Linked DNA regions of Macaca mulatta. The protein of the gene in region 4 purifies or fractionates together with the protein of the main gene of each other region. This does not show direct contact. Links are inferred from orthologs where the notes say so. Each region holds a gene or a part of one and is shown on either strand. Other genes may lie near its edges.

Region 1 (3,913 bases), on a different chromosome or scaffold from region 4:
AATCCCAGCATTTTCTGAGGCCAAGACAAAATTGCCTGAGGCCAGGAGTTCAAAACCAGCCTGGACAACATAGCAAGACCCCATCTCTACTCAAAAGTATTTTAAAGTTTAAAAATTTAAAGACAAAGAAAAAAGTGCAGGTATACTGCAGGTCATGATTCTACAACACTGGGAAAATAGGACATACAGAAGGACAGCATTCATGTCCCTCAGTCAGTCCCAGAAACCTTTCCTCAACCTTGTTTCCATCTGCATCTCAACTTGAGAATTCCTCCGTGTCAAGACTGTCTGCCCACACACCACTCTCCTTGTTCCCTTCCTCCAATCCAAGGAAACAGGCTTTAGACTATTCACACACACACAGCCACCCCATCACCCTTCCTCTTAAATCACTCCCTTCCACTCTACCTGTTAAATGTTTTCACAACCCCCAGATTTAAAACCTCAAGCGGCCGAGCACGGTGGCTCACACTTGTAATCCCACTATTTTGGGAGACTGAGGCAGGTGGATCACCTGAAGTCAGGAGTTTGAGGCCAGCCAGACCAATACGGTGAAACCCGGTTGCTACTAAAAATACAAAAATTAGCTCGGCGTGGTGGCATGTGCCTGTAATCCCAGCTACTCAGGAGGCTGAGGCAGAAGAATCACTTGAACCCAGGAGGCGGAGTTTGCAATAAGCTGAGATTGTACCACTGCACTCCAGCCTGGGCAACAGAGCAAGACTCCATCTCAAAAAATAAACTAAAAAAACCCTCAAGCAGTCACTATGTCTTCCTTCCTGCCCTTCCCCTCCCTCTGCTGTACACACACATGCAGAGCCCTACCTCCACTCCCACAGCCTCTCCCAACTTTCACGTCCCCCCACCAATGCTCAGCGCTACCAGCTCAAATGTTTCCACCTAACTCCCTCTCCTCTTCCATCTGAAAATCACCTTCCTTAAACACACATCTGATCCCGTCACCTGCCAACTCCCCATCATCCATCAAGCCCAAACTTCTTAGGACATACTTAAGTGCCTTCTAGGAACCAACCACACACAACGCCATCTTCTGTGGAATCTCTCATTCATCACTCTCATCTCAGACCCTTTTCCCACTAGCGTCAGTGCCTCTGCCCACTGTTCCCTCACTCGGAAACCCTCTCCTTGACTATCCAAATTCCTCCCAGCCTTCAAGGTGCAGCCCCTCCACCCAAGGCTTTCCTGTGCTCTGGCAGCCCACAACTCTCTAGGGCACACACCACTCACGGCCTTATATTCAGTTGCCTGGTCCAAGTCCTAAAGCACCTAATAAACCGTGGAGAGTATTAAACAGAGAGACTGTTTCATATCTCCGTACTTCACAGCAACTTGTATGTCTTATATGTAGCAAACGTTTACAAAAGAAAGTCTGGGCCGTGAGTGGTGGCTCACACCTGTAATCCCAGCACTTTGGGAGGCTGAGGCAGGGGGATCACAAAGTCAGGAGTTCAGTACCAGCCTGGCCAACATGATGAAACCCCGTCTCCACGAAAATACAAAATCAGCCGAGCATAGTGGTGAGCGCCTGTAATCCCAGCTACTCAGGAGGCTGAGGCAGGAGAATTGCTTGAACCCGGGAGGCGGAGGTTGCAGTGAGCTGAGATCGTGCCACTGCACTCCAGCCTGGGCAATAGAGTGAGACTCCATCTCCAAAAAAAAAAGTGTGCTATACCACTTCACCTCTCCCCCAAGAGAGACAAAACTGACCACCCCCCTTCCGAAACATACAGACCATACTGCTGGCCTTCGGCTTTTCACAGCTTAGAACACCTCACCAGACCATTACCAAAAAGCATCTGCTACCCTTGAAATTATTCCCCAACTCCTCTGGGTCTTGTTCCAAGATGTAAAAGGAAAATCTTCTAATCCAAATTTTTACCTCTCACCTGGCTCCCCACTTCACATCCTCACCACTCAACCTAGGGTAACCAAAGGAGGTCTCCCCTATTTTCTTACCTTCACTCTCACACTGCACCAAAAACTACACAGAACTGATTGCAGCAGCCTAAGGAAAACGTAATCAATTTTAACGCTCTAAGATCTGTTATCAAAGTGCTATGCCGATGTTTAATCCAACCCTGATTACAGAGAAAGGACTCTGGAGCACTGAAGAGATTAGAGCAAGCCCCGCCGCTCTCCACCAGAGTTATTTGTTGGCAAATAAAGATGGCTGTTGGGGCCCACAAGATGTCTGCTAAATGGCTGCTAGAGGCTAAAAGACCACCTCCCCTCCCCCACCAGACACACAAAGCCAACATAGAATCCGTACCAGTGGTGCCTGAACCCGGCAATGCAAAATAATCACAATAGTAGACAAGTTTTACTTTTGAGATGAAGTCTTGCTCTGTCGCCCAGGCTGGAAGTGCAATGGTGTGGTCTTGACTCACTGCAACCTCTGCCTCCCAGGTTCAAGCAATTCTCCTGTCTCAGCCTCCTGAGTAGCTAGCTGGGACTACAGGTGCCCACCACCGTGCCTGGCTTTTTAGTAGAGACTGGGTTTCACTGTGTTGGCCAGACTGAAAAGTTTTAGAATCCAAAAAAATACACTCTTAGGCCTTATTCTAACCTTGTAAATCTGAAAATCCCATGGGATGTGTATTTGTAAATATCTGCGTGACTGCTGCACAGCCAGGTTTGGGAAGCACTGGCCTGCAAGACTAAAAGCAGGAAGTGGCCGGGATGGCTCACACCTGTAATTTCCAGCATTTTGGGAGGCCCAAGTGGGTGGATCACCTGGGCAACATGGCATCTCTACAACAAATACAAAAAAAAAGTAAGCTGATCACGGTGGCTCACACCTGTAATCCCAGCACTTTGAGAGGCCGAGGCGGGTGGATCACGAGGTCAGGAGATTGAAACCATCCCAGCCAACATGGTGAAACCCTGTCTCCATTAAAAATACGAAAATTAGCTGGGTGTGGTGGCACGCTCCTGTAATCCCAGCTACTTGGGAGGCTGAGACAGGAGAATCACTTGAGCCTGGGAGGCAGAGGTTGCAGTGAGCCCAGATCACACCACTGTACTCCAGCCTGGTGACAGAGCAAGACTCCGTCTCAACAGAAAAAAAAAAAATTAGCTACGTATGGTGGCATGGGCCTGTAGTCCCAGCTACTCAGGAGGCTGAGGTGGGCAGATCACCTGAACCCAGGAGGTGGAGGCTGCAGTGTGAGCCGTAATCACAGACACTGCACTAGAGCCTAAATGACAGACTGAGACCCTGTCTCTGAATAAATAAAAGCAGGAAGTGAAGACCCTCACCTGATGCAACCGTCAAATGTGCCCGGCTTGAATGGGATGCCCTGGCCCATATCCCCCAGGAGTAGGTCTCCCTCTATCTCTCGGTCCACGGCTTCATCTACGTTAGAGAAAAGGCAATCAGAGAAAGAGACAATACCTGTGGCTTCTCCACACCCACCCATCAGGGTAATCCACCCTGGTGCCAGACAGGACATACATACCCAGCATGGCAGGGCTGATATCCAGGCCCACCCAATAGTGCCCTTCATCTGAGAGATAACTTCCACTCAGCCCAGTGCCACAGCTGGAAGACACGATCATAGACTCACGGTCAGTTTGCAAAGGTACTTCACCACCTTAGACAATCTGAACCAGGCCCCAGAATCTCACCCAATATCCAGCAGGTAACAGGGCTTATTCTCTGGCAGATAAAGAAGCTCCAGTGCTCGCCCAGCCATCCTGGTCTGGATATCAATCATCCGTGAGCTGGGAAGGCAGAAACACAAGTGGACATGGTAAAGGAGTTCTGGGTGAATACCTCCCCCAGACCAAATAAAAAAAAAAAAGCCAAGTTAAAAAAAAAAAAAGGATCAATCATCCCAAGGTACTCTTTTCTGACCCCTTCTAAGTTGAGATCAACAAATTCAACTATTTA
Region 2 (3,913 bases), on a different chromosome or scaffold from region 4:
ATGTCTCCCTAAAAAAAATAAAGATGCAAAAAGATCGCAAAAAATACAAATTTAAAAATAACGCAGTGGCTTAATGTAGAGTACCATTTCCAAATCCTGTATTATCTCCGATCAAAAACCTTTCTTTCAGAGTCTGCATCTCCAAACCATTCACTGTGCCATGCAACACTTCTCAGATGCTTCTGAGGGAAAAAAGCAGTCAAGGCGTTATATCCACATGGAATTCCTTATGATTTCACATCAAAGGCGAAGAAACTGAAGAGATGACAAAGTGCCACCAACTCTGGGAAAGGTCATCCAGTGCTAACTCTGTGAGGTGCCATCCTGAGACAATCATCATCACAAATGCAGATGCAAAGACTGTACATCAACCTTAAGGAAATGGAATGCAAATATGCAGAACATCTATCACTGGGAAAAAAAAGTCCAGTCCAAGGATCAGTAAGTTCACTTGGACTAATAATCTGACCTCTGGTTAAAATTTGTGGGGTAGGGGCAGTAAGTTGAAGTAAAAAAAAAAAAAAAAACATTTGCTGCAGCAGTATCTGCAGCAAGAAAGTGCTCAGCAACTTATCCAGCTTTAAGCAGGTGGCTATAAATGCTGGTTCATGGACATAACGCAAGCATCAGAAAGTGATCAGAAAGGGTACATGGTAAAGTGAAGGGGAGTCTTATAACATCAGGCCCCAGGGAAAAGGTAGACCAAGGGAGGTAAAACATAACACTAAATGGAACTATGGGAGATTCTGAATGCCTTGCCAAATGGGATTGTTATGATGAAATGATCTCATAGGCCTTTTAAATTAGCGAAGGCAGATTTCCTTGAGCTGTTAGAAGCTGATTCACAACTGTATCAATCCACAGCCATGGCTTCAATTTGGCCAGGTTCTACATATTTTAAAAAGATCAAAAAACACATAAGGCTACCAAAATTATCATATACCTTAAAAAAAAAAAAAAAAGAAAAAAACCATGCCAAAAGTTAGTTATAGGATAAAAGTTACTTGTCTCCCAAACATAAAATCAGGCTGACACTGGGAGCTTTCACGGCTGTGAGCAGGTAACTGACGGCCATACCACAACCACCATACGCAACCAATCCACTGGCTGAGCACCTGTCAGGGAGCACGCTAGTCCACGCCACTGAGCAGGAAGGCACTCCCCTCACAACTCCCCCAATATTCCAGTGACTGAGAACACAGGGGTATTTCTTCTTGATCTTTGCTTTCTCTGATGTTTTAATCTTTATTGTCTGATCCTTTATTTCAATATGCTCCTGTCCACAGATAACTGACATGGCACTACATCTTACTCCTCCTATGAACTGACAGTACTGTGCCAGATGCTAGATCAGTATCAGAAAGGAATCTAAACCCAACCTAATGATGCAGCAGCACCTACTGCTAGAAGCACGTAAGTTTACTAGTCATTAAAAATCATTAAAAAATGCTTATTTTTAATAGTATTAAAACAGAACATAAGTCACATTTTTCAAAAGACTTACAGCCAATTTCTCTTCCTCTTCATTTTCACTGTGCCATTCCGATTCCGCATCTGTTGGTTCAACATCACCGGTGATAAATTCTCTTCTCTACATAAAAATGAGACCTTATTAGAATTGTGTTATTAGCTTACTTGGAAACTCAAGAGTTAAATTTATAAATAATGTCTACAAAAAGACTTTGAAAACTGGGTATTTTTATAACTTATTTTAAGATTCTAAATTTTAGGGTTCAAAGAAAAATATTAAATGATTTCCTGGGTAAATCTGGATGTTTCACCTAAAGATCTAAAATAAAGGCGGTCCCTGATTTCCAATGGCTCAACTAAAGATTTTCAACTTCATGATGGTGCAGAAGCCATCACACTTTGAGTACCAATACAGCCACACTCTGTTCCACTCTGTGTAGTGTTCAATACATTACATGAGATACTCAGCACTTTATTATAAAATAGGCTTTGTGGAAGATGATTTTGCCTGACTGCAGGCTCATGTAAGTGTTCTGAGCTTATTTAAGGTAGTCTAGACTAAGCTATGTTTGGTAGCTTAGATGCGTTCTTACCCTAGATGTTGTCAACTTATAATGGGTTTATCACAACCTAACACCGTCGTAAGTTGAAGACTATCTGTATATTAAATTCGTTAAGAGAGTTCCCTACCTTGTCAAAAAGAGGCTGGTATAGTGCTGCATACTTTCTTTCCAAGTCATGTACCTCTTCATAGAACTTGGCTTCTATGTGAGCACATCTCACCTGAAGTTGTTTCAATGCATTAATTCTTCTTTTTACTGCTTTAGGTAAACTAAAAAAAAAAGGAGTAAGAAATACAACATCCTCATGCCTGCAAAATAAGGCACCATGCTTTTCAATTTTATTAAAACAAATTTAGGTTAACATGGAATTAACATAATGAACAAGACCTCTTAAAAATTAGGAAAAGGACAAATACCCCAATAGGAAAAAAAGGATACAGGAGGCAGAAAAGATAATTCACAAAAGAAAAAACACAAATTGTCAAACATGAAGAAAGATTCAATCTCATAAAATATCCAAAAGAATGCAAACATTTAAGAATGCTCATCTTTTCCTTACCAAATTGGCAATTAAAAACCAAAACAAAACACCTAGGTTTTACGAGGCTAAGGGTCAAGAAGCCCTCTGACTCATCTTTCTTAAGGGCAGAAATACTGAAAGTGTTCTTTGGACCCAGTAATTCCACTTCTAAGAATTTATCCTTAAGGCTGGGTGCAGTGGCTCATGCCTGTAATCCCACCACTCTGGGAGGCCAAGGTGGGAGGACGGCTTGAGGGCAGGACTACAAGACCAGCCTGAGCAATATAGCAAAACCCCTCACTACAAAAAATTTAAAAAATTAGCCAAGTGTGCCCCTGTAGTCCCAGCTACTCAGGAAGCTGAAGTGGGAGGATCACTTGAGTCTGGGAGGTCAAGGCAGCAGGGAGCTATGATTGTGCTACCGCACTCCAGCTTGGGAAACAGAGCAAGACCCTATCTTACCAAAAGGAAAAAAAAATTTATCCTAATCAAGTATTTATGCTGGATTGTCCATCGATAGATCTGTACAAGTGAAAAACTGGACAATGGAAGTTCAACGGTATTCAAATATGGCCTATTTATAATCACATTGTACAGGAATATTTAGTGCCACGTGGGAGTCCATACTTGTTAACACACTGGAGGAAAAATCTGAGAAACACAGACCACAGGCAACACAACTTTGTCCTTGAGAGTCAGGTCAACTATGAGTTTGCTCAATCCTGTTCTATGTTTTAAAAAATATTTTAGTTTGTATGTATAACTTCTATAAATCAGAAGAAAAATCCCTGTTTAACCTATCAAAACTATTTGCTTAAAGCAAAGCCCCTGGTCATAATCATGTGGACTGAACAGCAGATTCCCGGCCTCATCACAGACCCAAATAATCTACCTGGGGCAGGGCCCTGGGTCCTGAATCTTAGATACCCATTCACACGATCAGAGTTCTCAAGTCTAAGCACTTGACTTATCCTCCAACACCACACAGCACAGAGCAGCAGGCAATTCACACACACATATCACTGGTCTGGGAGGTATTAGAACAACTGCCTTGCATCCCAAAGGACCACTCTCCTGGGTGAAATATAATCACAGTTACCTCAAGCTAAAGGTCCTTAGTTTAGACTCTCAAATAATGCTTAACATTCTAGAACTACTGCTAGTAGTAGATGAGAACAAGGGAAAAGCAAAAAGAATTTAACAAAATCATAGACTCCCACTGCCACTTGTACCTCTTTTCAGCACTGATCATTCATTCATTCATTCATTCATTTACTGTGATAGGATCTCACTCTGTTGCCCAGGCTGCAGTGCAGTGGTGCCATCTCGGCTCACTACAACCTCAACTTTCTGGGCTCAA
Region 3 (3,206 bases), on a different chromosome or scaffold from region 4:
TAGGCAATGACTTCCTAAAAGTGGGTTTTATAACAGTTTAGAAGCAGTGGAAGGAGTGGGTAGAGGGCTGCCCAAGAGTGCTACGGAGGGTGCACTCAGCTGGACTCTCACGTTTGATTCACACCAGCCATGGGAAGGAAGAATCAGAAAAATCAGTCCCCAAATGCAAAAATGGGTAAATAGAAGTGAAGCAGGGCCCAGGAGAAGCAACAGCACCCAGATTGAGTTCCGGCTACTGAATCCCTACAAGTCACAGGAAGAGCCCTCAAAATACTCAGCAGGTGCCACAGACAAGACCTGGAAGCAAGCTGCATACAACTGAGAAAACTCCCAGGAGAAACGCGGACATTTGGTTCATGCTGGGGAACTACACGTTTCTGAGTATCTTCCCAGGACTGTCCCTGGCTCTGCAGCAGCCAAAGGCATCAGCCCTCATGACCCTCAGGCTCCAAATCTCAGCCGATTCCCCAGGGGCTTCTTGCCAAGCTCACAGCGGGAGGTCAACATGGCCAGCAGGAGATGCGGTGGGCAAAGCAGCAGCGCACAAGACCCCTAGCCTGGGTGGTCACTGGCTCTTCTGGGAAGGAAGAGCCAAGCCCATCAGGTCTTGGCTGGACTGCACAAAGGAGAAAGTTCCAGAGCCAGAATCAAGTTAGACACAGGAAGTTAGAAGTGAAATGGTGGAAGGCGGAAGGAGCAGGGGGCTCATTTAAGGGACAGAGCTTGGGAAGGTCACGGCCAAGCACCCTCGAATCAGCGCTTGGAGACAGAGCTCGCCTCTGTGGGAGGGAGGAGTCGTCCTAAGCAGACCTGGCTGTCAGGGTTTCTACGCCAGGACGCCCCCAGTGGGCGGCCAGGTAACTGCACCATCACAGTGTACCTTAAAAAGGGTTTTTTCTCAATGCCACGATGGAAATGCCTGATGGCCCCACTGTGAGGCTGACCGGAGTCTTGGGCCTTAAGTTGGCACACACAGACTAGACTGGTGCACTTAAGTCCCACGGCCTTGGAAAAGCAGCTCCGCCTGGTTTTCTAAGTGCCTGACCCCCACCTCCACCTTGGAAAGCCTGCTGCACCCCCTTCTGGGGTGGGCCTTCAGTGTGGAGCCCCTGGACCTGGACTCTGCAGCCCCAGCTGGCAGGGTTCCAAATGCCTTCTTTTACAGACAAGTTTCCCTCCTGCTCTCCAGGGATGCTGCCTCCTTCCCTACATCTGGATCTGTCACAAGCTCAAGTCATGGTTCTTGGCCATTACCAACAAGCAAGACTATTTTCCTTTCCATCCGCAGAACCTGTTTAAAGGAACAGCTGCAGCTCGTTAGGGGCGGAAGGTTATGCTGGTTGAGGCCGAGTCTGCACTGGGCGTCCAGGCAGCTCCAGCAGAGCATCGGGGCCGGCCGGGGTGGAGTCCAGCCCTGACTCTGCCCTCCAACCCCAGAGACTCCGAGATCAGAGCGGAGGTCACCCCTTCCAAGCCAGCTAGCCCTGGACAGCCAATGTACCGCTGAACAGGGGCTTATAAGGCTTCTAGGATCCCTGCACCAGCATCCGAGGCTCCTCTGAAGCATGGGGAGTGGACAGCACGCAGACCCCTGCCCTGGGGACAGTCAGGCCGGTGCACACAAGGGGCTGCTGCTGGAGAGGCAGCATCCGTCCCTTGGCCTGGGTTTTTTCAGAAGCAAAAGCCAAAAAATCAGCCGTCTTCCCCACACCCAACCTCCGCCCAGAGTGGAAAGCGCACACACGTGATAGGTGCCGTGTTACACAGGGCCGCGGCTACACGGGAATGCGGCTGCGCACCGGCCGGGAGCACACGTGGGGGTTAGTGGTGTTTTAAATGGCCGCGCAGCAGCAGCCGGACCGGCAGGGTCTCGGCGGGTTGGTGAGTCCTGTTTTAGTGGGGAGGGTCTCGCGGCTCTCAGGCAGGGTACCTGGATCGGCTTAATTATCAGGCTGGATGTAGATCTGGCGCTGGGTCAGCACTTGAGAGAGCTCCCTCTGCAACTGCTTAAACTTTTGGTTGTCAGGGATAGCATCAATAGATCTACAGAGAGTGTTCAAGATGAGTGGAGTGGGAGGGAAGAGAACCACGAGAAGCCAGGAACGCAGGGGGCCACAGCTGAGGAGGAAATTCAGGGAGACCCACGAGGCGGAAGGGGGGTGCCGCAGCGGCTCTGGGCTGTAGAGTGGTATCACCGCTGCAGAGGCCCACGCTGGCGGTGGCCGTGGTTTTCAGGGGCTCGCCACCACCACCCATAGGCTCTTCCGCTTCTCTCCCCCACTTCCCAGCCACTGCCTGGGGACTGTGTAGGTTGGCTGGGCGGGAAAGTGCGTTTGGTGTATTGGGCAGTGGCTGCAGGTGGCAGGCCTAACACCACGGACCACTGGGCTCTGACCCTGTCACAGGTCATGAAGACCAAACCTCCCCCAGGTGGGCAGGAGATCAGAAGACCAGGGTCCAAAGAGGAGGACTCCTCTGTTTTAAAACTATAAAGCAGGCGACTGAAATCTGTCACCCACCCCAGTCCATGAGCTGGTGCAGCAACAGAACTGCAACCTGCCTCTCCTCTGGGCTGGGCTGTGAGAGCTATGTCACGGCAGTGGGTGAGAGGGCTGGCTGCTAAGGGCATAGCATGGCCCGACTCACATGGTGCTGCTGGACTGCAGAGCGTGTTCTAGATTCACCATCTCAGCCGACCCTGCCTCCTCCATCGGACAAGGGCCTCTTCGAGGAGTGCCAGAGGCCACACAGCTCAGGATGACAGAGCTTAGGGGAGATCCCAGCCTCCTGACTCCAAGGCCAGTGCTCACTCCACAGCTGTCTACTGCCCCCAGCTGGGCTCTGGCCTCATGTCAGAGGCCTGCCTCCTGCTCTGTCCACCATGGACCTGGAGGGTCCAGAGAGCCCCCAGCTTTTGTTCAGGCTGACACTGCAGAGACGAGGGCACGAGGTGGGTGGGACAGTGCAGGACATTGGCCACTGGTAGCAGAGCCCTGGCAGAGGACGTCAGAGAGGCTGGGGGCCCCCTGAGAAGGCCCGGGCTGAGGGCCCTGCCTGCACATTGTGCTCTGCTGTCTCGGAAAGCAGGCCAGCCAGAGGCGGCCGGGCTGCCTGGGATGTAGTGTCATGGCTCCCCTAGGCCCAGGCTGGAGGGGCTGGGCAGATTTTTGAGTGGGGACTGACAAACTGCAGGGCTGAGGAGGCTC
Region 4 (3,913 bases):
CTCCCCACCACTAAGGAGGAGCTCTGGGGATCCATGACCTTCACAGCTGATGGGGACTGGGCTCATGAGGCCTTGGCAACCTCATTCCATTCTTTCCCCGCCCTCTGCTCTGGATTTTGCAGTCCCTAGGTCTCTGGGAGAGGCCCTTCACCTGTGCCACCCCTAAGCCGGACCCAAAGCCCCAGCCAGTGGTCTGTTCCAGCCTCTGCTCCTGCTCTGTGCACTTGGTCAGCATCTGCCCAAGGCAGTAGGGGACCTTGGCAGGCCCAGCCCTACACCTGAAAAGCTCAGGGTCAGCTGATGATACAGCCAAGGAGGTCTGTGTGGGGCTGCGCTGGGAGCTGGGAACATATGACAGGAGGGGACATGTGGAAGGGCCGACACATCTTGCTGCCTTCCCTGGAATGGCCGTTAAGGTGATGGGGCAAGCCATTCCCACTCCCACTCCCGCCCCTGTGTGGACCAGGAGAGGAAAGCTGGGCTGTGTGGCTCCAACCAGGAGGCGAGGGAAGGAGAGCCCATGTAGCTCTTCTGCTCAGGACCCAGCAGCTGGGGTTAGAACTGCACCAGCTCCTTTCTCTCCTTCTCTGTTAGAGCTTTCTAGAAACGGTGGTAGGAAAGTTTCCATCTCCTTTTAGGAGGGAACTTGCATTCTTCGCAGCACAGTGAGCTGACAATCCAGGAAAATCCTGGAGGTCTGTGAAAGTCTACATGCACCAGCGATGGATGGCCGGGAAGAGACTGCTGGGAGAAGCGAGGCTGGTGGGCCAACTGCGGGCTGCCCCCAACCCTGCACCAAGGGCTGTGTGGAATGCCTGCCTTGCCCCCTCATGCTTTTGCTGAGATCTCACCAGGAAGACCTGAGAGCCCATCTTCTGGCTACACGACTATGGTCCCCAGCCCAAGCTGCCATAGTCACAAGCCCAGTGGGGGGTCTTGCCAGAGCCTCACCTGGGGCAGGATGATGGTCTTTGAGTTGTCAGCCCACACCACCTCCACCTTGCTGCTGACGTCCACACGGGCCACCTGGCCCACCGATGGCTGCCGGGCAAAGGGGACAAAGTCAGGGGGTCCAGCTCAAGCTCCAGCTCCCCAGCCCCTCCTGTGCTCTGCAGTGACTGACATCATGCCCACCCAGCTCGTGACAAGAACTTAGCTCCTCTGGTAAACGTAACCAGCGGCAGCTGAAGAAGCCTGACCCCAGAAGCGAGGCAGGGAAACAAGTCCTTCTGCAGCTGCTAGGGCTGAGCAGCAGCTTGACTTTGGGGCAGCTGCCCTGGGGACACTGAGCCCAGAGGACTTTCAGGTCTTGTCTCCTAGAGCCACCTGGTGGCAGCATCAGGGACTGCAGCTGGTGCACAGGGCAGTGAGCAGCGGTCCAGAACTTGAATTGGAAGGCACACCTCATCCTCCTTGTGAGGAGCCCCGTCCTCAGTATTGCCGATGCGGATGACGATGTCAGTTGTACGGAACCTAAAGTCAGGGTGGTCAGCAATGTCGTAAACACTCACGTCTTCCTCTTCTCCAATCAGCTGTGGCACAGGACAGGTTGTCATGAGCTACGGGTCCTACACCTAACCCCAGAGCCCACCTGAAGAAAGCAGTAGGGGCTGCACACACCTCCACGTCGTCCCCACTCGGCCGCAGCTTGAACCACTTCACCATGCAGGTGCGGCCGAGGTGGTCCCCAGACTGTACCACGCCGTAGACAGCAGGGTCTGGACAGCTCTGGACTAGGGAACCAGAGGAAGGGACGTGACTAGCTAAGGGATCCCGGCTAAGGAGCCGACATCTCAAGCCAGTGCAGGGTGCAAACTGTGACCTTCCCCTGTCTTGGAAGTGGTGAGACCCCTTCATGAGGGCAGTCCCCTTCTGGACCTCATTTTAGCTCTGACCCCAGATCCACTGCCCATTCTCCACAAGCCCCAACCTGGGCCCTCACTGGCAACCACCCTGCTGGCTGCCCTTCCAGAGCTGGCACTACCTCGCTTATCTACCACGAAGTCTCCGGGGCAGAACTCGTTGTTGTCCAGGTGGTGCACAGGAAAGAGGTCGTTGGAGCGGATGTTGCATTCCACAGAGCCATCCTGCCACATCACGTCGGCTGAGGTCATCGTGGTCACCACCTCCACTGCCACCCTGCCGGATGCAGGCCAGTCAGCAGGCCATGCAAACGCCACCCCCGCCCACGGAAAGGGCAGAGAATCTTTTTGTCCCTTCCTGTCCCTGTGGGCTTAGTAACCTGAAACTCCGAATCCCAAGTTGGCAGGATGAGTTTCTGGTGCACAGGAAGCTCACCCAGGGTTCCGAGGCCATGCACTCTCTGAGAACGAGACCCACTTGGGAGAGCTCAGGCAAATGTGTTCCCAGAAGGCCAAGCTTAAGGCCACCACCATCCCACCCTCTGCACCACTCCTCAGTCTCCGCTTTCCACCAGGGCCTACCCCAGGCACCTACGCTGTCTCGGATGGGCGTCCCTGAGCCACTACAAGGCATGCAGAGGTGTGTGTGCGAGCACAGGCACGCACACCCAGGGGACGCGCACTCTGCCTGGCTTCACGCTGACGCCACTGGGGAGGGGCACAACTCTGAGTTTACCTGTCCCCTGGCTTGAAATCTCGAGTGATTTTATTCTTCTTCCTCTTGTGTTTGCGCTTTAAGTTCTTGATGGACAAGGGGATGCTCTTTTTGCGACTCGTGCCACTGCCGCTCTGGGAGGAAGTGGTGGAGCTGGCAGAGGAGGTCACTGAGCTGGTGTCGTCCGTGTCGTCAGCAGCCTCATCATCTGCGTCCTGCTCTGCCGAGTGCAGCCTGTCATCTCTGCCTTCTTTTAGCAGGAATGGGGGCAGCTGCTCTCCTGCCTCGTGGGGCTCCTCTGCACCTTCGTCCTGCATCTCCACTGGACTGGCAGAGCCATCAGGCGTCTCCTCGGGACTGGCAGACTCTGCTTCACTCTTGGCTTTGGTTTCCCCCTTCTTGTCTGGGTCTTCCATGGAATGGTCCCGGGAACACTGGGTGTCTGGGGAGCACGACATGATCCGCACAACCTGCTTCTTCAACAGGCGCTTCACCTGCAAGGGCGGAGCAGAGAGGACAGGGCTGTGAGGTGCACCTGGGCAGGCCTGGCCCTAGGCATCTCAGGCTGGGGGGATGACAGTTGTATACACCTGAGTAGCCGGCAAGGGTCATCAGGGCTGCCCCCCAAGGCCTAAAGCACAGACTGTCCTTTTTGGCCATGGAAATGGCTCAAGGCCAGTTCCTCAAATGCCCACCAACCCCCAACCCCAAGGACATACCTTCTTGGCCATAGAGCCCTCCCCCTGGGCGCAGTTTTTTTCTGGACATTCCCAGGCAATCTTGGCTGGCTCTACCTTGGCTGGGAAGACATACAGACAGCGCTCCCCAAGCTGCCGCTGAGCATGGTCAAAGCATCCGAGACGCTTCACCCTGGTTGGGAAAGAAGCAGGGGTGAGCTGAGCTGGACTCCTGGGAGGCCAGCAGTGTTCTTGAGCCTCCCCGGGCATGTGGCCAGGGCCCAGAGGCCTGTTCCGCGCGTGCCCCTGGGTTGCTGGCAGTAAGGGCGTGCTCACCTGCCTAGGTTTTCCTGGGTGATGACAGAGGGTGGGGGGCTGACGCTGTCCGTGCCCCCTGGACAGAAACTTTTGGTAATCCATGTAACTTTCAACTCTACAACCTGCACCTGGGGATGGCAGGTGGGACACGCCAGTCAGGGCAGGCTCTGACAGCATTCTCTTTAGCCAGTTGCCCAAAGCCCACTCGACCTCCAGAGCAGGAAACTGATCTTCCTAGTGTAGCACCAAGTACAGACACATCAGAGCAGACCCCAACTGTAACCACGGCCCACACCCAATGCCCAGGACCCGTGTCACTGCTCACACCAGCCAGGGGCCAC
Region 5 (4,269 bases), on a different chromosome or scaffold from region 4:
GACTGCACGCTCCTGCCCAGGACGGAAGGCTTGGTGTCCCAGCTGCTCCAGGGCCTGGAACACCTCAGCCGGCGTCTCTGCAGACACAGGTGTTGACCACCATGACTTAAGTCACACCAACCCCTCGGTAAAGGCTCTGGGCCAGCAGCTGACTGCTTACCTGCCAGCTGCCCTGAGGGCCCCAAGGAGTAGAGTGGCAGCATGGTGGAGGCCAGGCCGGGCACCCCAGGCACAGGTTGTGGTGCAGGAACCAGCGGCTCAGGGCCAGCAGGGTCTGTGTCTTCCTCACTTACTGGGGCAGGCAAGAGAAGGTGGAATGGGAGCTCCAAGCAAAACAACCATTGGCCACAACCTTCTCTTTCCCCAAAGGGGTTGGCAGCAGGCAGTGCCCTTCTTCTGTGCTACTTCTTCTAAAGCATAAAAGGTTGACACCCATCCTCATCCTTGCCACCCTGCTTTGGGGGAGCCAGGGTAGGGCCTGGACCAGGGGCACCTGGAAGGTCTTTTGCTTGGAACAGAAGTGTCGCCCAAAAGAGTACCGTGCCCTCTCCACAGTGGTGGCCAGACCCACCCTCCAGGGCAGATGTCTCACCTGGCTGAGGACACTGGGGTGCCCAGTGATCAAACTGTTCATTCAGGAAACAAGACTCCTTGATCGTGACTGTGGCACCACCACCCCCAAAACACTCCCCTTTCTTCCGCCACTTCTGCTTCCATGCCTGAAGGGTGCCCACATAGGAGGGTCACTGGGTGGGACATGCAGGGGTGCTGAGGGGAGGGAAAGGGAGGGCCTGTCCCAGTCCATCGCCGTCTCACCTGCTTGCGGAGGAGCCTGCCACGGAGTGCCCGGCCCTGCACGTAGCGTTTCTGTTTCATGTTGAGCCGTACGTAATTGCCCCTGTCATGGCGGGCCAGCCTAGAGATGTGCAGATGGGCTGTGCCCTCAGCCTTACCCGCCCTAGCTTGACTGGAGGTGCTGAATCTGTGGTACCTGGGGGTCGACAAACTGCTGCAGGGCTGAGGTGGCTGTGCCTGTACAGGTTCCCCTGGAGGGTCTTCCTCAAGTGCGACAGCCCCAGCCCCCTCCGATGGGGGTCCAGCCTGGCTGCTCTGCTGCTGGACCTGTGCGGGGCTCCCCCAGAGCTCCTTGTTCCGTCTCTGCTTCTTGCCTCGACTGCTGCTGGGCTGGGGGCTCCCTGCACGGATGCTGACTTCTTGGAGGGCTGAAGCCTCTGGGTCTGGGGAGCCAGCACCAGGACCAAGGACAGCTGACTCACCCGGGATCAGAAGCTGTGATTCCTCTGAGCCTAGGCCAGGCCTGCAGGCTTTGGGGGCCCCCAGAAAGTCTGGGATCTCACTGTGACATCGCTGTAACCAGTCAAGATCTAGGGAGGCCAGCTGCTGGCTCAGGCATGCCTGCAGGTGCTGCAGCTGGCCCGGCCTTGGCTGGGGCCCAGGGGGCTGTGGAGGCTCATCACTGACTTTTTCTGCAAAGGTGGGGACAGGCCTTGTGCCTGGGGGATTTGGGGTGGGCGTCTTGGATGAGGATCTTCCTAGAGGCCAGGGTCTGCGGCCTAGGGCTGGTCCGGCCTGGGAAGGGAACAGAATGGCAGCAGAAACTCAGGCCCCTGGGCTTCTGTAGACTCTGAAACCTGCCTGAGTTCCCACCTTCAATGGTAAGACAGGTTAATTAGCACAAGGCTGGCCTAGAAAGGGAGTCAAGGGCGAAGGCCCCGAGAAACTCCGTGGAGACTCGTGCCCTGGTTGGCACAGGAGCCTGTGCCTGTCTGTGTGGAAAGAGTGACAAGAAAGAACCCCGGGCCAGAAGCACCTCTGGACCTAGTGTGGACTCACTGCTTGCTAACTCCTCACCTGCAGGGTGCCTTTCAGGTTGGCCTTGAGCCGCTGCCCGTAGTCCGGCACCGACCCCTGGCAGCTCCGCCCTGGCGTATGTTGTGGACTGTGGGTTGCAGCCCGATTCAGGTGGGGCCCCCAGCAGTGGGACTCTGGTGCCTGCAGGAGACAGTAGGGGCGCAGGCCAGAAAAAGGCTGGTGTGGAAGCAGAGGCGCTCCCACCCACCCCCTCACACCTGGAGCGAGGCCCGGCCCGTCTTCACTTTGCTCAGTCCCCCTCCCAAGTTCTGTGCCCCACGGAGGCCTGGCCGCGACTCCGTGGCTCCTGCCACTCCGCCAAACAGGAAAGTGGGAGGAGGCTGGGGTGGCGGGGCCTGGATACCTCTTCGACGGCCACGGGGAGCAACTCGGAGCTGCGGGGCCCGCCGCCGGCCTGGCCCACGGTCCGCTTGAGAGTACGATACTCCCGGTAGAGCGCTGCGTGGGCGGGCGGGAGGCGGGGTCAGGGTGGAGCCTGGGCCCCCGCCGACCTGGCGTCCTCCCGCCTCCGTCGACCCGGGACCCCGCCACCCCGCCGCGCGCTCACCGCGGGTCTCCTGCGGCGCCGCCTCCACGTCATCCTGTAAAGGGAACGCGTCAGCCGCGGGCCGCGCCCTCAGCCCCTCGGCCCCAGGGCATCCCGTACCTGGCTCGGCCGCCGCCCGCGCTCCCGCCGGAACGCGCGTTCCCACGCTTGCAGCCGCTCGCGCACATCCCGCAGCCGCTCCATGGCGGGCCCGCCAGGTCTCCGAGCAGTCCAGCGGCCGCCCAGCGAATCTCCCGCGCCGCAGACGATGGGGCCAACAGCCAATGCGGGCGCGCGGCGGGCCGGGGGCGGGGCCACCGCGACTAGGCAGCCAATCCGCCGGGCCCTGGACAAGCAACCAATGGGGGGCGCCGACGTCATCGCGGGGCGCCGCGGCGCCGTGCGGGGCGCGGCGGACGGTCTAGGCGGGGCCGGAGGCGGTGGCTGCGGCTGCGGGACCGGTGAGCGCGGGCGGCCAGGCGGGGGTCGGAGTGGGGCGGCGTACGTCCCTGGCCCTGCCTGGCCGCAAGGGGCGTGGCAGCGGTCGCTCGGGGCGGCCCGGCTGAGGGAGGCAGTAGCTGCATTTGGGAGCCCGGGGCCGAAGCCGGGAGCCCGGGCGGTGCCATAGCGGGCCGGGAAGGACTGGGAGTCCCCCGGCCGGTCGGAGCGGCGTCAGGCCCTGGTGGGAGACGCACCTGGCTTGGAGGAGCAGGCCCCGCCCGGGACAAGAAAGAGCGGAGGGACCAGCGCCTCCCGCGACTGGAGGCCCAGAGGAGCCGGGCGGGGGCGTCTTTTCGAAACGCAGGCAGCCGAGGGCCGACGCGTTCCCCGTGGCCGGCGGGAGGGGCGGGGGCCTCGCACGGAGGTGCCTGCCTCCCTTGGTGGCCAGGCCGTCTGCTTTCGTGTACTCCCGTGACAGGTGCTCGGTTGGTCTGTCCTGTCAGAGCGAGGTATGACCGTTGAGATCTCAGAATGAGACCGAGGGTTGGTGTCTGGGACTTTTCAGGAAGCGGTTCTTTAAGGACTTATTTGTATGTGCAAAAACAAGGGCCCTGGGGCCAGAGTGTCCTCCCTAGACCCCTTCCCTGACTTGTCACTCAGGCTGTGACCTTGGGCCAGGCCTAGGCCTTCATTTTCTAATCTGTCACAGGGAGATGGCTGCGATTTAGTTTTGAGGATGCTGCAGTCAGCAGCAGGGCTGGCACCCTGTGTCACAGGTACCTTGTGGCCTTGGGAGTGTTCGCGCGCATCTCTGCAGCTTGAGTGCTGCTTAGGCAGCTTTCTTTGCCTTGTCTGAGCAATCTGTAGCCTTGCACCTTCCGAATCCCACATACTTAAGACTTGTTCTTTCCACAGTGGCTCTCCAGGGAAGAGGGAGAGGTTTTAGGCCACTGGTAAGAGCCACCAAAGGTGAAGGTTGCTTTCTTTCAGGGGTCTTCGTGCTTGGTGACACTCTGGAGAATAGTTTTTTTGGGGGGGGCTTATATTGAAGGCTTGGATTTCATAGGCTACATCATCTGGACTCAGTATTCCCTAGGTCTCGGTCTTTTCAACCTGCCCTGTTGCTTATGAAGCTGCATCTGTGCTTCCAGCTCTTTGTTGTTTTGTGGAGTCCCAGGGTAGCCCTGGAGAGCCTCTGTGAGGAGAGGGGAGGGAAACGTGATTTGGCTGCTTGACTCCTTGGAGTGTCCCGTCAACGTTAATGCTGATGAAGGTTGGTGGGGAGAGGCCTGGACTTTATTCAGGTTTCGAAGAAGGTTTTGTGAAGCAGCTTTGTAATTTGGGAGGCCTGAAGTACCCATGGGGGGCCCTGCAAGGCAACAGGCATCTGTCAAAAGCACACCCAAGCA
Region 6 (4,604 bases), about 23 Mb from region 4:
GCCAGTATTTTCTCGCAAGTGTAAAACTCTCAGGAGGACAATTATCCTTGCCTATGCCTTTTCCAACTTCACCTCACAGGTGGGTTATTAAGATCCCAGTATCACTGACTTGGGATGTAGAAATGGGACCTGGGACCCCCAACTGCTCCCAGTCCTGGCAATGAGCAGAGACCAAGCTATTCAGATTTATACTGGAAAACAGTTGGAATTCCAGGGCCCAAACACCAGGCTTTATGTTTTACTTTTAATGTTTTACTTTCCAGTGTCATAAGTAACTTTTACACCCATCTGTACTAAAGTGAAAAAGATGCTTTTCCCAACTTTCAAAATCAAGTATCACTACACAGTAAAATATAATGCTTGTGAAGAACTATTGTAGAGTCAGACACACCTGGATTCAAATCTTCACTGATACTAGCGTGGGGTCCTTACACAGAATTTTTATAATGACAGGAAGACTATACAAAAAATAGATAAGTCTAACCAAGTTAGCAATGGGACACACATGAGGCAGCCAATACTTACTGACCCTCCTCTACTTATAAACCATTAAATGCTCACAAATTCATCAAGTAGACAAATAGACCTGGCCCTTTTGCACATTTCTGTGCTTGTTATTTATTAAGTTCCAAGGGGAGGGGATGTATTCATTTAGCAGAAACAAGGACCAAAAAAGACATTAACAGAATTGGATACTCACAGCTCGTTTTAAAACTGAAGTGTTCTGAGCTCTGGTCTGTCCCACCACTGACTGAGACCAACAATCCACTCTCCTGCCATCTCATCTACAAAGTGATGGCCATTTGCTCTGCTCTTCTCTAACAGCTCCCTGGGCCACCAATCAGACCCAGGAAGTGTTCTGAGAAGAGGAAAAAGCCCATGCAATTGCTGAATCACAAGCACAGTGCTACCAAGCCCTCAAGTGGCTATTAATGGTAAACAAAAAAAGATTTCTAACCCAAAGGTTAAAAATCTACTGGAGAGCATCGTGGGGTGGATACAGGAATAGGAGTAACTGTAACACATGGCTAACAAATCAACATCATATTTGTAACTCAAGGGATGGCCATGAACTCTTTAGAAGAGCAAGACATCCCAGGGTAGAGACAGACTAGGCAGGCACAGGAAAAAACTGCAAGAGCTGAAGTTAAAATGCATCAAATACCAGAAGTTCTAAAGCCGGACAGGACACAAACTGCAAGTATTTTGAGGCCTCCCCCTTTAAATCATACAGCTGACAGGAAAACTTATGAGGGGGTAGCCTGAGATTAAGTAATGAGCAATTAGCTGGGTGTGGTGGCGCACACCTATGATCCCAGCTCCTCGGCAGGCTGAGGCAGGGCAATCACTTGAGCCTGGGAAGTGGAGGTTGCAGTGAACAGAAAGATATGTGCCACTGCACTGCAGCCTGGGCAACAGAGTGAGATTACATCTCAAAAATAAATAAATAAAAATAAAATAATGAGCAGCTTCTCGTTTTCATTTTCTAATTTTTTTTTTTTTTTTTGAGAACCCAGGAGGCAGAGGTTGCAGTCAGCCAAGATCGTGCCATTGCACTCTCCAGTGTGGGCTGAGCGACAGAGGGAGACCCATCTCAAAAAATAAATAAATAAATAAATCTAAAGTATGGAAATGACAAGATGATGGTCCCCCCTCCAACATAATATGAACAAAAACTTAAGATACTTATCTCACATTGCCTCTCAATGGAAAACAACCTTGAGGCCTTGAAAACTGATCCATTTTCCAATAAAGGAAAGAGTCCCCCCACTACTTATCAGTGTTAAGGTGGGCTCAGTGTTTACTCACCCTTTTTTCTGAGCTCTGGTTTGCCTTTCTTGACTGTGGCCATCACCATGTCACCCACACCAGCAGCGGGAAGTCTGTTCAGCCGTCCCTTGATCCCCTTCACGGAGATGATATACAGGTTTTTGGCTCCTACAAATCAATGTAAATAAAAATGAAAAATGTTGAGGGCCCATCAGGCCGTTCCATCAGTATTACATTTCCCAAACACTTCCAAAGTCCCTCCCTCCACTGACTGCCCAAGCAGTTAGTCCTCAAGAACGCCTTGTCACACCACCGATTGAAGCAAACAACACAACATGTTGCCACTTCACCCAAAAGCGATGTTTTCACTCTCCCCTTTCTTGACGGCTCAATAGGTCATTAGGCACAGGCCCATTGAGTGCTTTTAAAAGGGGGAGTATAGCAACCTGCAGTCAAAGACCTCACCTGTGTTGTCAGCACAATTGATCACAGCTCCTACCGGAAGACCCAACGAAATCCGGAATTTCGCACCAGAGGACCCACCACGTCCTGTGGATATAAAGGGAAGGTAAACAGGATAAAGAGATCACTATCTAGACATGGTTCGCAGTTCCCCCTCATACTCTTAAACTGTAATTCACCGCACATACTTTGACAGATGGTATGCTATAGATTAGCTCGCTCGGATTTTACTTATGCCCTCCCCGTGTGCCACCCGATTCTCACGGAAAGTAGCCTATTTCTCACTATTACCACTCTGACATCGAAATTAAGGAACCTAGACGACTCAGCCCTTGTTCCAACTTTCGCAAAACGCAATTGCTCCTGCAAAGCATAAGACCGCAGAGGTCGCGCAAACCAGGGCCTAATCCAGTCTAACTTCAACCCCAATACGATAGCCCTATTCGCAGAGCGATCTCGCGGGATCCAGACTATATTCATGTCGGGATCCTGCTATGTCAACTCTCCAGCACCCCACTGCCACTTTCGAGGGCCCTGGCAGTGCTCTTGCGATGGCCTGGCTCTCCCTCTCCGGCCTGAAGGAGAGCAAAGCGCCCCAGCTGCCTAGGGCCACCGCTCCTGACGAATCCGCCAGCCACTGCACGACAGATGGTGGAGGATCCTCCAGAAGCAAAACCTCACCTCGCTTCGACATCTTGAACGCCGGAAAAAAGAAAAAAGGAAGTTGATTCAAAGGACGCTGGGATATGAACTTTGACGCCCCGCCCACCTTCGTCACGTGGCCGGAGCTAAAAACTCTGCCTCTTCCGCCTCTGGGCGCTGCCTTATTGCGTATTAAGTTCACGACGTTACTTTGAGCCCTCTCTGAAGTGGGCGTTGAAGTAGAAGCGCAAGAGATAGGAAATCTCTTCTCCAGGAGCTTAAGAGTAGTTAGGGACATGGAAGCAGTGATTTGTTAACTTGCTCACGACCTCTTTTGACAACTTAATACGTGCCAGGCACTTATCTGCACACTAGAGAATAGGAATTAAAACACGGTTTGTGCCGTGTGGGGGTTCCCAAAGAAACAAAGACAGTGGGGGAGGGGGGAGAACCAGCTCCAAACGGTTTCGTTGAATGTAATACAATTGAGAAGTGCTACAGATCATTCCATCTATGTGTTCTTGGTACCATACTATTCTGTATTTTACATATACAGTATTGCTCTGTTTATTGACCCGCCCCCCCCCCCACACACACACACACAGTTGTTTTTTGTTTTTTTTTTCTTTTTTTTGAGACGGAGTCTCGCTCTTGCCCAGGCTGGAGTATAGTGGCGCGCTCTCAGCTCGCTGCAACCTCCGTCTCCCGGGTTCAAGCAGTTCTCTGTCTCAGCCTCAGAGTAGCTGAGACCACAGGCGCCCACCACAACGCTGGGCTAATTTTTGTATTTTTAGTAGAGATGGGGTTTCGCCATGTTGGCCAGGCTGGTCTCGAATTTCTAACCTCAAGTGATCTGCCCGCCTTGGCCTCTCAAAGTGCTGGGATTGCAGGCGTGAGCCCCCGCGCCAGGCCACTTGCTCCTTTCACAGCTTCAGCCGCCCCTTTCTTCTGGGTTCTTCCCGTGCCACGATGCATTCATTCAAATACTTACTGAGCTCCTACTTTGTAGCAGGTTCTGTCCAGGGCGTACAGCGGATTACATCAGACAACAAAATGGATCAATATTGTTGTCCTTATGGAGCTTACATTCTGCTGGGGTGCAGGTGGAGGAGGATATTAGACACTAAACAAAAGATATAATAAATAATTGCAGTATGTAGTATGTTAGATGGGGATAAGTATTATAAAAATATAAATAGTATCGCTTCTTGGCCTTTTGGCCAAGATCAAGTGTAAAATACAAATAGTGGCCGGGCCTGGTGGCTCACGCTTGTAATCCCAGCACTTTGGGAGGCCGAGGCGGGTGGATCACGAGGTCAGGAGATTGAGACAAGCCTGGCCAACACAGTGAAACCCCGTCTCTACTAAAAATACAAAAATTATCTGGGCGTGGTGGCACGCGCCTGTAATCCCAGCTACAGCTACTCGGGAGGCTGAGGCAGGAGAATCGCTGGAACCCGGGGGGCGGAGGTGGCAGGGAGCCGAGATCGCTCTACTGCACTCCAACCTGGGCGACAGAGCTAGACTCCGTCTCAAAAAATATATATATAAATAGCTCTTTGAGAAAGACGCCGTCGTAGGTGTTGCGGATCGCCAATCCTTACGCTCCTGCTCCCGGCTCACCGCTGTTAGCTCTCGCCCAGGAACCAGTGGGTCAGGAAGCCGCGCAGTAGCCATGGATTTTAAGGATACCGGAAAAACACCCATGGAGGCGGAGGCGGCAGTTCACG
Region 7 (3,913 bases), on a different chromosome or scaffold from region 4:
GTAAGAAAAACCTACAATGCAAAATACTTCGGGAGCAAAGAGAAAGACAGTCAGAGCTGAGGGGTATGAAGAAAGTCCTTTTTCTCACTTCACCTAATTAATGTCTGCAAGTAAACCAAATTGTGGGGAAATACTTATTTTGAAGAAAGTAAGGAGAGTTTTAAAAAATACAGAAGTGCACAGAAAACTAAAAGTCTTACAGTACACATGGAAGTGTTGTTATTCTCAAAGAGTCACAATGTTTTAATAATTGTTCAACAAGGATTGTGAGAAATCCACTAGACTACATTACGTGCTGCCATCACAAAGAACACACATAAACACACACAAAACGGACTCATGCCAATAACTGCTCTATCATCTAAATGCTTCAGGTAATTGCCACTAATTCCAAAGAGAAATACCATCAATCCAAGTACTTTTGGTCTACAGTTATCTGATCCGTGTACCCGAATGTTACAGTGCCTGAACTATATTAACCCATAGTACCTTTACCGATTACGATCCAGAAGTTATCAATACAAAGCTTTTAAACAAACAAACAAAGACAGTAATCGCAAACAGAATTTGGAGTTCGGCAAGACCTACTTACTGGCAAGTCCACACTAACATCAGTACCATCCAGAAGGGACACCCGACACGTGATGATGGACTTAGAATCTCCAGCTGCAGGAATATGTGTGGCTGCGCGCTGTGCTTCTCGGAGTCGTTCCTTTTCCGCATGTTTACGCATAGACCGACGCCCCAGTGTTCTACGGAAGAAACTCAGCATTTTTGTCACTATAAAAGCAGAGAGAAAAAGATGGCATCAGCAAAAAAATGAGATTCTCCACAACTTGCAGTCAGTCAAATGGCATTATTTAGTCAAGTCCTGTGCAAATTAGTAGAAATGCTACTAAAAAGGCCTCCTGGGCTGGGTGCAGTGACTCACGCCTGCAATCCCAACGTTTTGGGAGGCCCAGGCAGCAGGACTACTAGAGTCCAGGAGTTCAAGACCAGCCTGGGCAACACAGTGAGACCTAATCACTACTAAAACTAAAATTACCCAAGTGTGGTGGTGCATACCTGTGGTCCCAGCTACTTGAGGGGCTATGAGGCAGAAGGATGACTTGACCCCAGGCAGTGAAAGCTGCAGTGAGCTGGGATTGCACCACTGCATTCTAGCTCGGGCAACAGAGCAAGACCCTGTCTCAAAAAATCAGTAAATAAAACAAAAAATAAAAAGGTCTCCTGGTCAAGTAAATCTGAAAAAAATCATTAAAACTGGCTACTTTTAATAAATATTTCAAGAGATATTATACATGATAAATATACACAATTTTTGTCAATTAAAAAGTTAATTTAAAAATCTGGTTACTTTAATTCAAAGTTTTAAAAGACTTGTATGTATAAGACATAGCCACGGTTTGTTTGGAGCTTTCTAAATTTACTGGACCATTTTATCAGGAACTGATTTGGCAGGAGAAGGCAAACACTCATGAAGTTCATCAGGTCTTCTAAAAAGGTAAATTATATGTACAACATCTTGTATATCCTAAGATATACTCAGGTATCCTTTGATGATCATAAAAATCTTGAGAAGTGGTTGGGTGTGATGGCTCACGTCTGTAATCCCAGCACTTTGGGAGGCCAAGCCGGGTGGATCACGAGGTCAGGAGATAGAGACCATCCTGGCTAACACGGGAAAACCCCATCTCTACTAAAAATACAAAAAATTAGCCGGGCGCAGTGGTGGGCGCCTATAGTCCCAGCTACACGGGAGGCTGAGGTAGGAGAATGGCTCAGCCATTCTCCTGAATCCAGGAGGCGGAGCTTGCAGTGAGCTGAGATCACGCCAACTGCACTCCAGCCTGGGTGGCAGAGCGAGACTGTCTCAAAAAAAAAAAAAAAGTCCTGAGAAGTTCCATTTCTTTTCTGAGCATTCATAACAAAAATATAAAAACAATCACCTATTTCAGCTAAAATACAAATATAATTCAAATTTCATAAGTTTTGTCAAATATTCTATTACATACAGATTTTAAATAACTACTTAACATAAATCTTTTTAATGTCAAAGTACTTTAACGCTACTTTTTTCCTTATCTCTATAAAGAACATTAATGTTAATCAAAACAGTTAAAACGGGTTTTAAAACATAGCACACTAAATGGAAACACAAAATCAAAGTCACTTTGCTATCCTAATGCGTTTCATTTGCACAACAAAGAGAGTTTAAGTACACATAAGCCACCAAATAAGCCAAAAAGGCTATTAATTCCAAACGAAACAAGAAGCTGTGCAGAAAAGGAAAAGTAAATCACAATACACTAGATGACTCAGCTGCTAATGATTTAAATGTCAAACACTAAATATTGAGCAAACAATAACTAACTACAACAGAGAGGAGGTACATAATAAGAGGTAGGGGATACAGATACGAAAAGAGTTAATTCCTCATCATGCGTAACAGCAAGCCAACAGGTCATCACTAAAATTAAAAAATCAAGAACTAGCAGTAAGAGCATTTGATTTAAAATGTGAAAATGATTGCCTTGGGAGAGGGAGCAGAAGAATTCAGAAGAATGCTGTTTTTCAAGAGAAGCCTTCAGATTAAATGACTTTTTCAACTAGATTTATTTATAAACCTGATAAAATCCAATTTTTAAGATACTACCATATTAAAATGTCTATACACCGAAGATTAACCTACACATTTTATACAAGTATACTCTTGTGTAATTAGGTAAACTAATCCCAAGGAGATAACTAAAATTTTAGTTAGGTAACTTTCCAGTGTGCCAAACACTCATATATAATAATACCTGATCCCACTCTCTCTCCAGATATTTCTCCCTTTGGAATTTGCTATCCAGTCTCATTTCAGCTGCCTAAGACAGTACTTGTTATCCCAGCTTTCTAAAATCCTGTGTCACAGAATCCCTACATATTCCTTTTAACTCCACCAATATCTCCCAAGAAACATTTTATGATATCCCACCACTGCACTCCAACCTGAGAGTGAGATGCTGTATCAAAAAAAGAGCCTGATATGAAAAACTCCTAAAAGATAATTTGAAAGATGTTCATAAAAACGAACACCTTTAACAGTATCCAAGAAAATCCAAATGAAAAAAATAAGATACCATCCGTCTGTCATTTAAAGACTCAAGATAGTGTTAAAAAGAATGTGAGAAGGCCGGGCGCGGTGGCTCAAGCCTGTAATCCCAGCACTTTGGGAGGCCGAGACGGGCGGATCACGAGGTCAGGAGATCGAGACCATCCTGGCTGACAGGGTGAAACCCCGTCTCTACTAAAAAATACGAAAACTTAGCCGGGAGAGGTGGCGGGCGCCTGTAGTCCGAGCTACTCGGGAGGCTGAGGCAGGAGAATGGCGTAAACCCGGGAGGGGGAGCTTGTAGTGAGCTGAGATCCGGCCACTGCACTCCAGCCTGGGCGACAGAGCGAGACTCCATCTCAAAAAAAAAAAAAAAAAAAAAAAAAAAGAATGTGAGTCATACATTGGCCTTTTTTGGAGGGAGATTTGCCCATGCTATTAATATTTTTTTTTAATTTTTTTTTTTTTTTTTTTTTTGGAGACAGTCTCACTCTTGTTCCCCAGGTTGGAGTGCAATGGCACGATCTTGGCTCACTGCAACCTCTGCCTGCCAGGTTCAAGCGATTCTCTTGCCTTGGCCTCCCGAGGAGCGGGGATTACAGGCACCAGCTACCACGCCCGGCTAATTCTTGTACTTTTAGTAGATACTGGGTTTCACCATGTTGGCCAGGCTGGTCTCAAACTCCTGACCTCAGGTGATCCACCCACCTCAGCCTCCCAAAGTGCTGGGATTACAGGCGTGAGCCACCTCACTGGGCCAATATTAAAAATTTTAACATGCATACTCCTTACTCAACAGTTCTATTTCTGGAAGGA

The links.
Region 1: the proteins of UBE2O (region 4) and BUD23 purify together in Homo sapiens (affinity purification with mass spectrometry; 5 studies listed by BioGRID and IntAct, counting the BioPlex papers as one, with this or other methods). This does not show direct contact. The link is inferred for Macaca mulatta from reciprocal best matches to the Homo sapiens genes UBE2O and BUD23.
Region 2: the proteins of UBE2O (region 4) and NAP1L4 purify together in Homo sapiens (affinity purification with mass spectrometry; 3 studies listed by BioGRID, with this or other methods). This does not show direct contact. The link is inferred for Macaca mulatta from reciprocal best matches to the Homo sapiens genes UBE2O and NAP1L4.
Region 3: the proteins of UBE2O (region 4) and CAPZB purify together in Homo sapiens (affinity purification with mass spectrometry; 3 studies listed by BioGRID and IntAct, with this or other methods). This does not show direct contact. The link is inferred for Macaca mulatta from reciprocal best matches to the Homo sapiens genes UBE2O and CAPZB.
Region 5: the proteins of UBE2O (region 4) and RECQL4 purify together in Homo sapiens (affinity purification with mass spectrometry; 3 studies listed by BioGRID, with this or other methods). This does not show direct contact. The link is inferred for Macaca mulatta from reciprocal best matches to the Homo sapiens genes UBE2O and RECQL4.
Region 6: the proteins of UBE2O (region 4) and RPL23 purify together in Homo sapiens (affinity purification with mass spectrometry; 3 studies listed by BioGRID and IntAct, with this or other methods). This does not show direct contact. The link is inferred for Macaca mulatta from reciprocal best matches to the Homo sapiens genes UBE2O and RPL23.
Region 7: the proteins of UBE2O (region 4) and EPB41L5 purify together in Homo sapiens (affinity purification with mass spectrometry; 3 studies listed by BioGRID and IntAct, counting the BioPlex papers as one, with this or other methods). This does not show direct contact. The link is inferred for Macaca mulatta from reciprocal best matches to the Homo sapiens genes UBE2O and EPB41L5.

The regions. Positions count from the first base shown.
Region 1 is NC_133408.1:51,181,136-51,185,048, reverse strand, and holds part of BUD23 (18S rRNA (guanine-N(7))-methyltransferase), read right to left. Parts: intron 3,745-3,913; coding exon 3,649-3,744; intron 3,563-3,648; coding exon 3,480-3,562; intron 3,377-3,479; coding exon 3,280-3,376; intron 1-3,279.
Region 2 is NC_133419.1:2,877,222-2,881,134, forward strand, and holds part of NAP1L4 (nucleosome assembly protein 1-like 4), read right to left. Parts: intron 2,303-3,913; coding exon 2,161-2,302; intron 1,592-2,160; coding exon 1,505-1,591; intron 9-1,504; coding exon 1-8. UniProt on the Homo sapiens protein: Acts as a histone chaperone in nucleosome assembly.
Region 3 is NC_133406.1:221,632,082-221,635,287, reverse strand, and holds part of CAPZB (F-actin-capping protein subunit beta), read right to left. Parts: intron 2,044-3,206; coding exon 1,941-2,043; 3' UTR 1,931-1,940; intron 1-1,930. UniProt on the Homo sapiens protein: F-actin-capping proteins bind in a Ca(2+)-independent manner to the fast growing ends of actin filaments (barbed end) thereby blocking the exchange of subunits at these ends.
Region 4 is NC_133421.1:86,146,319-86,150,231, forward strand, and holds part of UBE2O ((E3-independent) E2 ubiquitin-conjugating enzyme), read right to left. Parts: intron 3,701-3,913; coding exon 3,591-3,700; intron 3,448-3,590; coding exon 3,297-3,447; intron 3,072-3,296; coding exon 2,599-3,071; intron 2,140-2,598; coding exon 1,985-2,139; intron 1,734-1,984; coding exon 1,621-1,733; intron 1,533-1,620; coding exon 1,386-1,532; intron 1,042-1,385; coding exon 952-1,041; intron 1-951. UniProt on the Homo sapiens protein: E2/E3 hybrid ubiquitin-protein ligase that displays both E2 and E3 ligase activities and mediates monoubiquitination of target proteins. Negatively regulates TRAF6-mediated NF-kappa-B activation independently of its E2 activity.
Region 5 is NC_133413.1:154,940,644-154,944,912, forward strand, and holds the start of RECQL4 (ATP-dependent DNA helicase Q4), read right to left. Parts: upstream 2,801-4,269; coding exon 2,540-2,800; intron 2,475-2,539; coding exon 2,441-2,474; intron 2,332-2,440; coding exon 2,237-2,331; intron 2,014-2,236; coding exon 1,873-2,013; coding exon of another isoform or gene 1,866-1,872; intron 1,591-1,865; coding exon 817-1,590; intron 720-816; coding exon 593-719; intron 293-592; coding exon 161-292; intron 78-160; coding exon 1-77. UniProt on the Homo sapiens protein: An ATP-dependent DNA helicase which unwinds dsDNA with a 3'-overhang in a 3'-5' direction. Does not unwind more than 18 bp of dsDNA. May modulate chromosome segregation. The N-terminal domain (residues 1-54) binds DNA Y-shaped DNA better than ss- or dsDNA.
Region 6 is NC_133421.1:63,144,660-63,149,263, forward strand, and holds the start of RPL23 (large ribosomal subunit protein uL14), read right to left. Parts: upstream 2,957-4,604; 5' UTR 2,927-2,956; coding exon 2,914-2,926; intron 2,320-2,913; coding exon 2,236-2,319; intron 2,205-2,235; exon of another isoform or gene 2,070-2,204; intron 1,939-2,069; coding exon 1,810-1,938; intron 1-1,809.
Region 7 is NC_133417.1:17,461,327-17,465,239, forward strand, and holds part of EPB41L5 (band 4.1-like protein 5), read right to left. Parts: intron 781-3,913; 5' UTR 773-780; coding exon 593-772; intron 1-592. UniProt on the Homo sapiens protein: Plays a role in the formation and organization of tight junctions during the establishment of polarity in epithelial cells.